2 linked regions of the Neodiprion lecontei genome follow. The protein of the gene in region 1 interacts with the protein of each later gene in a pairwise test. Links are inferred from orthologs where the notes say so. Each region holds a gene or a part of one and is shown on either strand. Other genes may lie near its edges. The genes, in order: WD repeat and FYVE domain-containing protein 2 and PRA1 family protein 3.

Evidence for each region.
Region 2: the proteins of WD repeat and FYVE domain-containing protein 2 (region 1) and PRA1 family protein 3 interact in a two-hybrid assay, tested with the Caenorhabditis elegans proteins (2 studies listed by BioGRID). The link is inferred for Neodiprion lecontei from reciprocal best matches to the Caenorhabditis elegans genes wdfy-2 and praf-3.

The regions. Positions count from the first base shown.
Region 1 is NC_060261.1:12,356,562-12,360,495, reverse strand, and holds the start of WD repeat and FYVE domain-containing protein 2, read left to right. Parts: upstream 1-1,407; 5' UTR 1,408-1,538; coding exon 1,539-1,699; intron 1,700-1,759; exon of another isoform or gene 1,760-1,792; intron 1,793-1,968; exon of another isoform or gene 1,969-2,083; intron 2,084-2,868; coding exon 2,869-3,010; intron 3,011-3,398; coding exon 3,399-3,604; intron 3,605-3,713; coding exon 3,714-3,934. UniProt on the Caenorhabditis elegans protein: Plays a role in coelomocyte endocytosis.
Region 2 is NC_060264.1:30,500,344-30,504,277, reverse strand, and holds the start of PRA1 family protein 3, read left to right. Parts: upstream 1-1,408; 5' UTR 1,409-1,624; coding exon 1,625-1,833; intron 1,834-2,086; coding exon 2,087-2,304; intron 2,305-2,390; coding exon 2,391-2,504; intron 2,505-3,766; coding exon 3,767-3,894; 3' UTR 3,895-3,934. Other genes in the region: peroxisomal multifunctional enzyme type 2, read left to right, coding at 1-7, 82-179, 247-366.

The sequences.
Region 1 (3,934 bases):
TAACGATCGTTTGCTTCGGGGTGGATTTAATGGTTGTGGATCTTTTGGCGGTCTTTCGGTCATTTTCAAGTCTGGATGTAGAGCTGAAAATTGATTCAAATAATCATTCTCTTCTTCTTTTCTAATTCGCGAAGACACGTTTCCGAAGTAATTTGAGGGACCAGCCTGCAAAGTGTCCTCATCCAACAGGTCTTCATCTCTGTTAAATCTCAAATTTTTGTTCGATGGTCTATTTGACAAATCGCCTCGTACTTTGTTTTTCAGGAAGTATAACGATGATCCCACTTCTGTCATTGCTGAATAGACTTGCTTTTCTCTCATCTCTTTACCAGCTAAGGGAGCATGTGTTACTTCTTTATGATTTTTTTCGTCGACGAATTCCTGATAATCTTCTGCCGTTGCATACAATGACAGAGGTACTCTTTTAATTACAAGTTTCTCAACAATGTAATCGCATTCGTTTGGGTTATATTCCTTCAAAGTCAACCTTCTCTCCCGCTTATGTCTTCGGCAGCAACTTAAAATTGAAGCCCAATTAGTGGATCCATGACTGGAGCATGAAATATCGTCGAATATTCTACTCCGTTTTGTGTTGCTGGCTGAGAACGTAGATTCCAGTTCTTTAACTTTTTTTGCGCTCATAATAGTAGATCAAACGCTAAAGATTACATCACCGTCACTGCAGATTGTAACATACCTAATCAGACTTATAATTGCCATTGTACGTAATCATCTCGGTTTTTATTACGAGGCCAACTATGATGCAGCTCATCACGCCGGCGTGGCGAACAGAATTATTAGATTAGAATATGTGTTGTAAAGAAACTAAATCTCAAATATCGGTTATCAAAATTTGGCGCGTAAATTGGTAATCAAACAAAATGTCACTAGGCGAATATGGTATTCTGAAATGCCGAAAATAGCTGATAACACGGAAAATTCTCTAGGAGTGAGATACAGCGGATACAGCATGGAGACTAGGCTAAAGAAGTCCCATCTCTGTACATACATTTGATCCGGCATCAAAAATCCATACACTAAGGTTTGCGCTGGCTGACGCTGAACAGCACTGAAATCGCAAATATCCAACGAATGGTGAAAAGACAGAAGTAATTTCATTTTAGTCACGATCGATGTATGTATATAGTCAATTCTTATCAACTTCACCTCGGAATATTACAATGACAGCGCTGTTCTTAATGAAATCTAAAACCACTAAACGACAAATTTTCGAGGACAAATTTTTCGCATGCTCCTCCATTAGAGATGGGTCTCCTTTTTACTCTAGTCTCCCTGGGGTACAGCCTTAGAATGCTCTGAGGGTACAGCATCAAAATACTACATGCTTCATGGAGTAAGAAAGGGAACATTATTGGAAGTGCTGCCAACTAAACCAGCGTACTGATTCATTTTACGAACCATCGGCAGGCTTGAAGGTCTTAAGATATTCTTAAATCCGCGATTGTAGGAACTGTCGAAGTCTGACAACTGTCAAATGATAATCATACAGGCGAGGTTACGACATTAAAAAAATTGAAATGGCAGCTGAAATTAAACCAGCACCGGGTGTAAACAACGAAAGATTTAGTACGACTCGAAAACCAATTCTATTATCGAAGCTAGAAGGTTGTAATGACGACGTGAATGGGGCGATAATCATACCCCGAGAAGACGGTGTTATCAGTATTTGCGATGACAGGTATGCCCCTTCAACCCCAAATATTACGCATTAATTATTCCGCATTGTACTGTACAGTTCAATCTGCTTCCGCACTGTATAATCGAAAATCTTGTAAGTGAAGATTCGAGTCTTTCCAGTCTTGATCTACATTATTCGTATTTCGAATGTATCAAGAAAAATTCGACTTTATCTGTACTTCAGCCTTTTCACATTCTTACTTACGTTTTCTCGAGTTGCCACATACAAATATTGTTAGGGTAGAGACATTTGCGCGTTCGACCAGTTCATTAAAGGCAAATAGTTGAGTCGCGTACGACCGTATTTTTTGTGTCCCTAAATAGCGTCATGTCAAATACGTCCCTGTTTGTTCAATAATAATGATCAAATCATGAAATAACGCTGGTGACTAAATTACTCGTATAAATAACTGGCTACATGAGACCTTTGTTCGTCTACTGGCGCGTTACGGCTCTGCCGAATTTGAAAATATGGACATCCTAACCTCTGACTAATCACAGAAAAATTACTTTTAATCTTGCATAGCTTATTAAGGAAACTAGTAACCCGATGATTTGTTACTATATTTTGAATCATCACAAACTTGAGAATACACCGCTTGTTTTTGATCAAATTCTGTGGTTAAGAAATACCTTTATTTTGCCAACAAAGCCTTTCAAAGCAATTCTTCCTTGTGTCCAAAACTCGATTTTCCATCCTTTTTTTCCCTCTTAGGTTGATATTCTGTTCTGTAATTTTAGTGTATGAAAAAACATACTCTTCAACTTTGTTTACAAATTGTTATAAATCTTTGTTGTAAATTTTTTTTCTCATGTTTTGTGTCTTACCAGGAGCTACCTTAATATACGGCAATCCTGAGTGAAAATCATCGTTTTACAATGACAATTGCCTTGCATGAAAAAAAAAATAACTAAACACCATTTAATATAACAATAAGAATTAATGTAAAGCTTTTTTCGACTCACATAATCCAAAAGAATTTCAATTCATTGAATTTAATTACAGCTAAATAATCGTTACTTTGTCAATTTTTATTTTGAACACCAATTTTATTTTTGTCTCTAAATTGAATAATATTCTTCTATAGCAATTCCATTGATGTCCTTTTTCATTCAAAAATATTGTTTATTGGATGTAATTATTTTTCCTAATTTTCGATTTCTGTGCAGGACCGTCAGAGTATGGCTAAAACGCGATTCAGGGCAATATTGGCCCAGCGTATGCCAATACATGGGTGCTGCTGCAACGGCAATGCATTATTGCGCAGAAACGAGACAGCTTTTTGTCGGCTTAGAAAACGGAGCTATTAACGTATGTAATTGAATTCCACAAACAATATGAACTCTATAAAAGTTTTCTCAACTAAACTGTCCAATCAGTTTATCTTCCAGAAAATATTGAATTAGTTCTGACGCTTAAATTTCATGGTATTTTCATGAAGAAGAATGAAATTCAAAAGAAAAACCTCAGATATTTAATACTTTAATCGATATCCTTGTGTCGCTTATTACAGTCCTTAAAATTATGGTGAAACATTGTTTCTAAAGTGATTTATACTCACAAAATAGAACAGAACTGAAATTCTTTAAAAGAATTTATTTATCAACTACGTGAAAATACCTTGAATACCAGGATTGTCTTGTGTTGTTTATTCCCTGGAATCCCAAGTTTGGGAATGAATTGTTCATATTCTTCAAAGGATTTTATATTGGAAACTGACTACAACCGCATGACTCCAATGAGAGAGTGCCTTTCTCATCAAGGTCGAGTTACTGGAATTATATTCGCTTTGAATTGTGAATGGGTACTCAGTATCGGCCGAGATAAGCTTTTTCAATTTCACTGCTCAGAAACCGGACATAGGCTTGGTTCTTTTCAAACAGATGCTTGGTTCACGGCATTGCAGTATCCTTTTGCATTGATTTTTTGATTATAAAGAACACGCGAATCGATTAAAATAAATTTGATCGGCAGTGCTCGAAGATCTGATGCAAAAACCTTGACGTAATCACAGATTTGCATCATTGACCAAACATGCTTTTGTCGGAGATTATTCGGGACAGATATCGATGCTCAAATTGGAGAGCACTGGTGCTACTCTAATCACCACTCTGAAAGGTCATACAGGAAGTATCCGCACGCTCGCCTGGAATTCTGAAAAAGATCTGTTATTTTCTGGGAGCTTTGACCAAAGTGTTATTGTTTGGGACATCGGAGGTTGCCAAGGCACTGCGT
Region 2 (3,934 bases), on another chromosome or scaffold:
CAATGGAGTGAGTTAATTTCTTCTCTATGTCATGAATAAAAAATAGAACAGGGTTCAGTTTTAAATAAATCGTTCTTTCAGCCCTTGATTTAAAGAAAGCTGAAGTTTATAAAGGAGAACCGAAATCTGGAAAGTCTGATACAAGTTTAACCATTGAAGATAAAGATATGGTTGAAATTGTAAGTATATTTGAAGAAGTATTGCAAATCAATGATTCTTAAACGATTTTTTTCCCACTATTTCCAGGCACTTGGTAAATTGAATCCACAAGTGGCTTTCATGCGTGGTAAATTGAAGATTAAGGGAAACATCATGTTAACACAAAAGTTGAAGACACTGCTCGACGCTAACAGAGCTAAGCTATAGTTTTCAATACAATTTTAACATCACAATTGTATCGTTACATCAATTTAGATGATTTTTTTCCTACCAAGTACTTCAATTTAATCTTCCCAACTAGTTATTTAGTAATAATGAATAGTGTTTAGATATTTTCAATATTTTAGCAAACGCAAAATTGCTCTGGGCATGCTCTGGTAGGCCATGAAATTTCACAATAGTGAAAAAATATAGAAATTGTTTATATTTTAAAACGATATGCATTTATAATTCCAAGGTTGATTATTCATGGGTCAAATACTGTTATTCCTTCTTACTAATTCCTGTTGTCAACTGCTAGAATTTATCGATATAGTACAGAATATTCAACAGATGTGATGCGTCACTTTTTGTCTGCTCGGATTTTTTCGTACAAAATGACTTTCGTAATATAAGGCAAAAAAATTATGTGAAACAAATTATTAACATATTATTACCGTTACAATAGATGGTAGTTGACAGATGTATTATAATCATGTAAATAACGTGTTTTGTGGGCTGAATGGTGAGTCAAGTTGAAAATTTGACTGATTAATTTGTATATTTTTCATACCTATACGTTATTACTACTGGCGGGATGATGGGCGTTCAATAAATATTTACATTCTTATATTACCTTGACAATTTTTCCAACTTTCATACGCACTTCATACTTTCAATATATTTTATTTTGGCATATAAAAAATTATCGTCGCTTACTCGGATATTTTTTATTTAGAGCAACTGTGATCCTGGAAATCTAGGAGTTTAAAAGTATAAACGGGCGTTCTCCTCAACTCGATCCAGAATTGCGAAAAAGACTTTTAATACCAGGGACTTGCAAACCAAAAATTATCCTTATGTATCTCATTATTTGCTTATGTAAATTTTATTACAGTTTAAGTATCAAATATTCGCGCTGCTTTCGACAGATTAGCAAAATATGGTGGCGACATCTTTTAGCTAAGAATAAAACTTGATATAAAAAAATCTTAATATGTATCAAGTCCCGATTTTGCAGTTCATCCTCCGTGGCTTCCTTTCTAAGGTATCTTCTTTGTTCGTGATTGTTTTATTTAGATTGCAGCAGTTCAGGAACTGCAGATACGTGACGTTAGTGACCTATCCTTTCATTTGCGGTCAACGGTGACGAATATTCGCTGCGACGTTCGGCGAAAAAATAAAAGTTTTTCAAGATATTGAAATTACAACGAAATATTGAAAGCAAGAATTACCTAAATCGAGGCAGTTCGATCCTCCGTCGAATATGGAGCGGTCAAAGATTGTGGGTATAGGAAACTCCGAACTCGTCATTCCTCCCCTACGGGGTCTCGACGATTTCCTACTGGAATCGGCCCGGTTCCAAATACCGAATTTCAAGGATCTGGACAAATGGGGAAACCGAGTTGTCAACAATCTATTTTACTACCAAACCAACTACTTCTTTATGTCCGTCATCATTTTTCTTATTGTCGGGTGAGATCACGTTCTTATTGTTATACTTCCCATATATCATACATCGATACGAATTTGTTATTCATGATCTATTAATAGCTGTGTCTAAACTTTGAAAACACCGAAAATGTTGATATTCGACGAGTTTCATCTTTTCTAGATTTGGAATGTATAACTGACGATGCGTTTTTCATTATTTGGTTCCAGCCTTATCCATTTACTATTTATATACATTTGTATTCCAAGCATATGTAACATACACTTTTTTTTGTAGGCTGATTCATCCTGTGAAAATGTTGGTCGGTGCTGTATCAATGAGCGTTGCTCTCGGACTGTTTGCCTATGCATCGTGCGAGGGCCGAGCCATTCACCAGACAAAAAAAGATTATCCTGCTCTGGGTGTTATTTTGATTCTTATTGGAAGTAGTTTTCTTGCGTACACAGTTGGTTCCCTCCTCGTATTTCTGATCGGTATTCTTCTCCCTTTCTCTGGTAAGTAGAATATGTTTTTAAACTCTTTGCCTTGTGCAATATTGTCTCTAGATCAGGAGTGTAATTCTCACTTCCTTTGTTTTTAGTGACTTTTATTCACGCATCGATGAGACTACGAAACATCAGGAACAAGCTAGTGAACAAGATGGAGGAATTAGGACTAAAACGCACCCCGATGAGCATATTTTTGGAACAGCTCGGTATAGAGCAAGAAATCTTTGCCTGATTGAATACTGATGGCGATATTAACAATCGTCAGACTACGTTCACTAAGTTGTTTCCTTAAATTAGGGTAACGTGCAAGTCCTAATAGGCGTTGGATTTTGGAATGCCCCTATGATAACTTTTCAATGAATTTTTCTTCGTGATTTAAATGAATATATAAATATACGGTCGTATTAAATACTTATACTGCTCGTGATTTCACTCGCGCTTAAATCTTTGATAAAAAAAAAAGCTATTTCAGCTGTCAAAGAATCCAACAATGAGCTGTGAACTAATTTATTTCAATCTAGAATTATCTATACGGCGTAATTTGTAACGCGAGACATCGTTACCCCGCTTTGCCTAGCTTCTTTACGCGTAATAGAACGCTGTAGTTTATTCGGAAAATAAGTGAGGAGCGAGGATACGTTATGATAGAAACCACAATTTTCCGAATTTAACAAGACGATAGTTGATTCTTACTGAATTTCTTTGTTCTGTTCTCGATGGAAAATATTGTTTATTTTTTTCGTGATCATGAGTGAACGATAATATTTTTATATAATCGTATAACATAGATATGTAGATATATACAAACAGTTATTGAGGCGTTTTTAACATTATTGCCTTAAAAAAAGACAGAATTTATTTAGAGACTTTTCGGTGTCATTGTTTTTTACGTTTTTTTTTTTAAATTTGTTTATTGTATGTATAGGTATATATATGTATATTAGTGTTTAGTAAACTCACATAAAATATTGCGTGTTTAATATTACTAAATCAGCAATGTCCAAAACTATCTAATTATTCCGCAGATGAATTGCTATGTCAGAAAATCTAACAACGAGCTGAGCTCACAATCCTTTGATTTTTCTGTAAGCTTATGACTGAGGCTACAGTTTGTATATACGTATGTATATATGCAAAATATATATACAATATCTTTGCCTGAAATAAATTTACGATAGTAAAAGATCAAGCCTATCGTATTGTTTTCGATCATTGTTCAGTCGATGAAGTGAAAATCGCCAAAAATGCTGATGCACATTCCGTTTTATTCCTCGATATTCTTCGCCATTGTTATCGTTAGAATCATTCGAGATTACTGGTGACAGGAAGTGAAATAGACAATTAGAGATTTCCATAAGACTCAAAGTTTTCGAATTTTTTTCTCCGAACGTTTTCTCTGAATGTGTCCTCTTTTGACGAGTAGCACCGGGTTCAAAGAAAATCTTTAACTCGGGATTTCACGTTCCAGGATACCCTATGCAGACCGTCGGAATACCGAAGTCGAGGATCAAGCAAGAGCTACATGAGTTCGTTGCCGATAGTGCGAAGGGTTTCTCATTTAAACGCGGTGGCTACACCCGTCTCTCGGATAGCTGACGCGTCGTTCATAACGAAAAAAATTATCCAACCCAGCGTC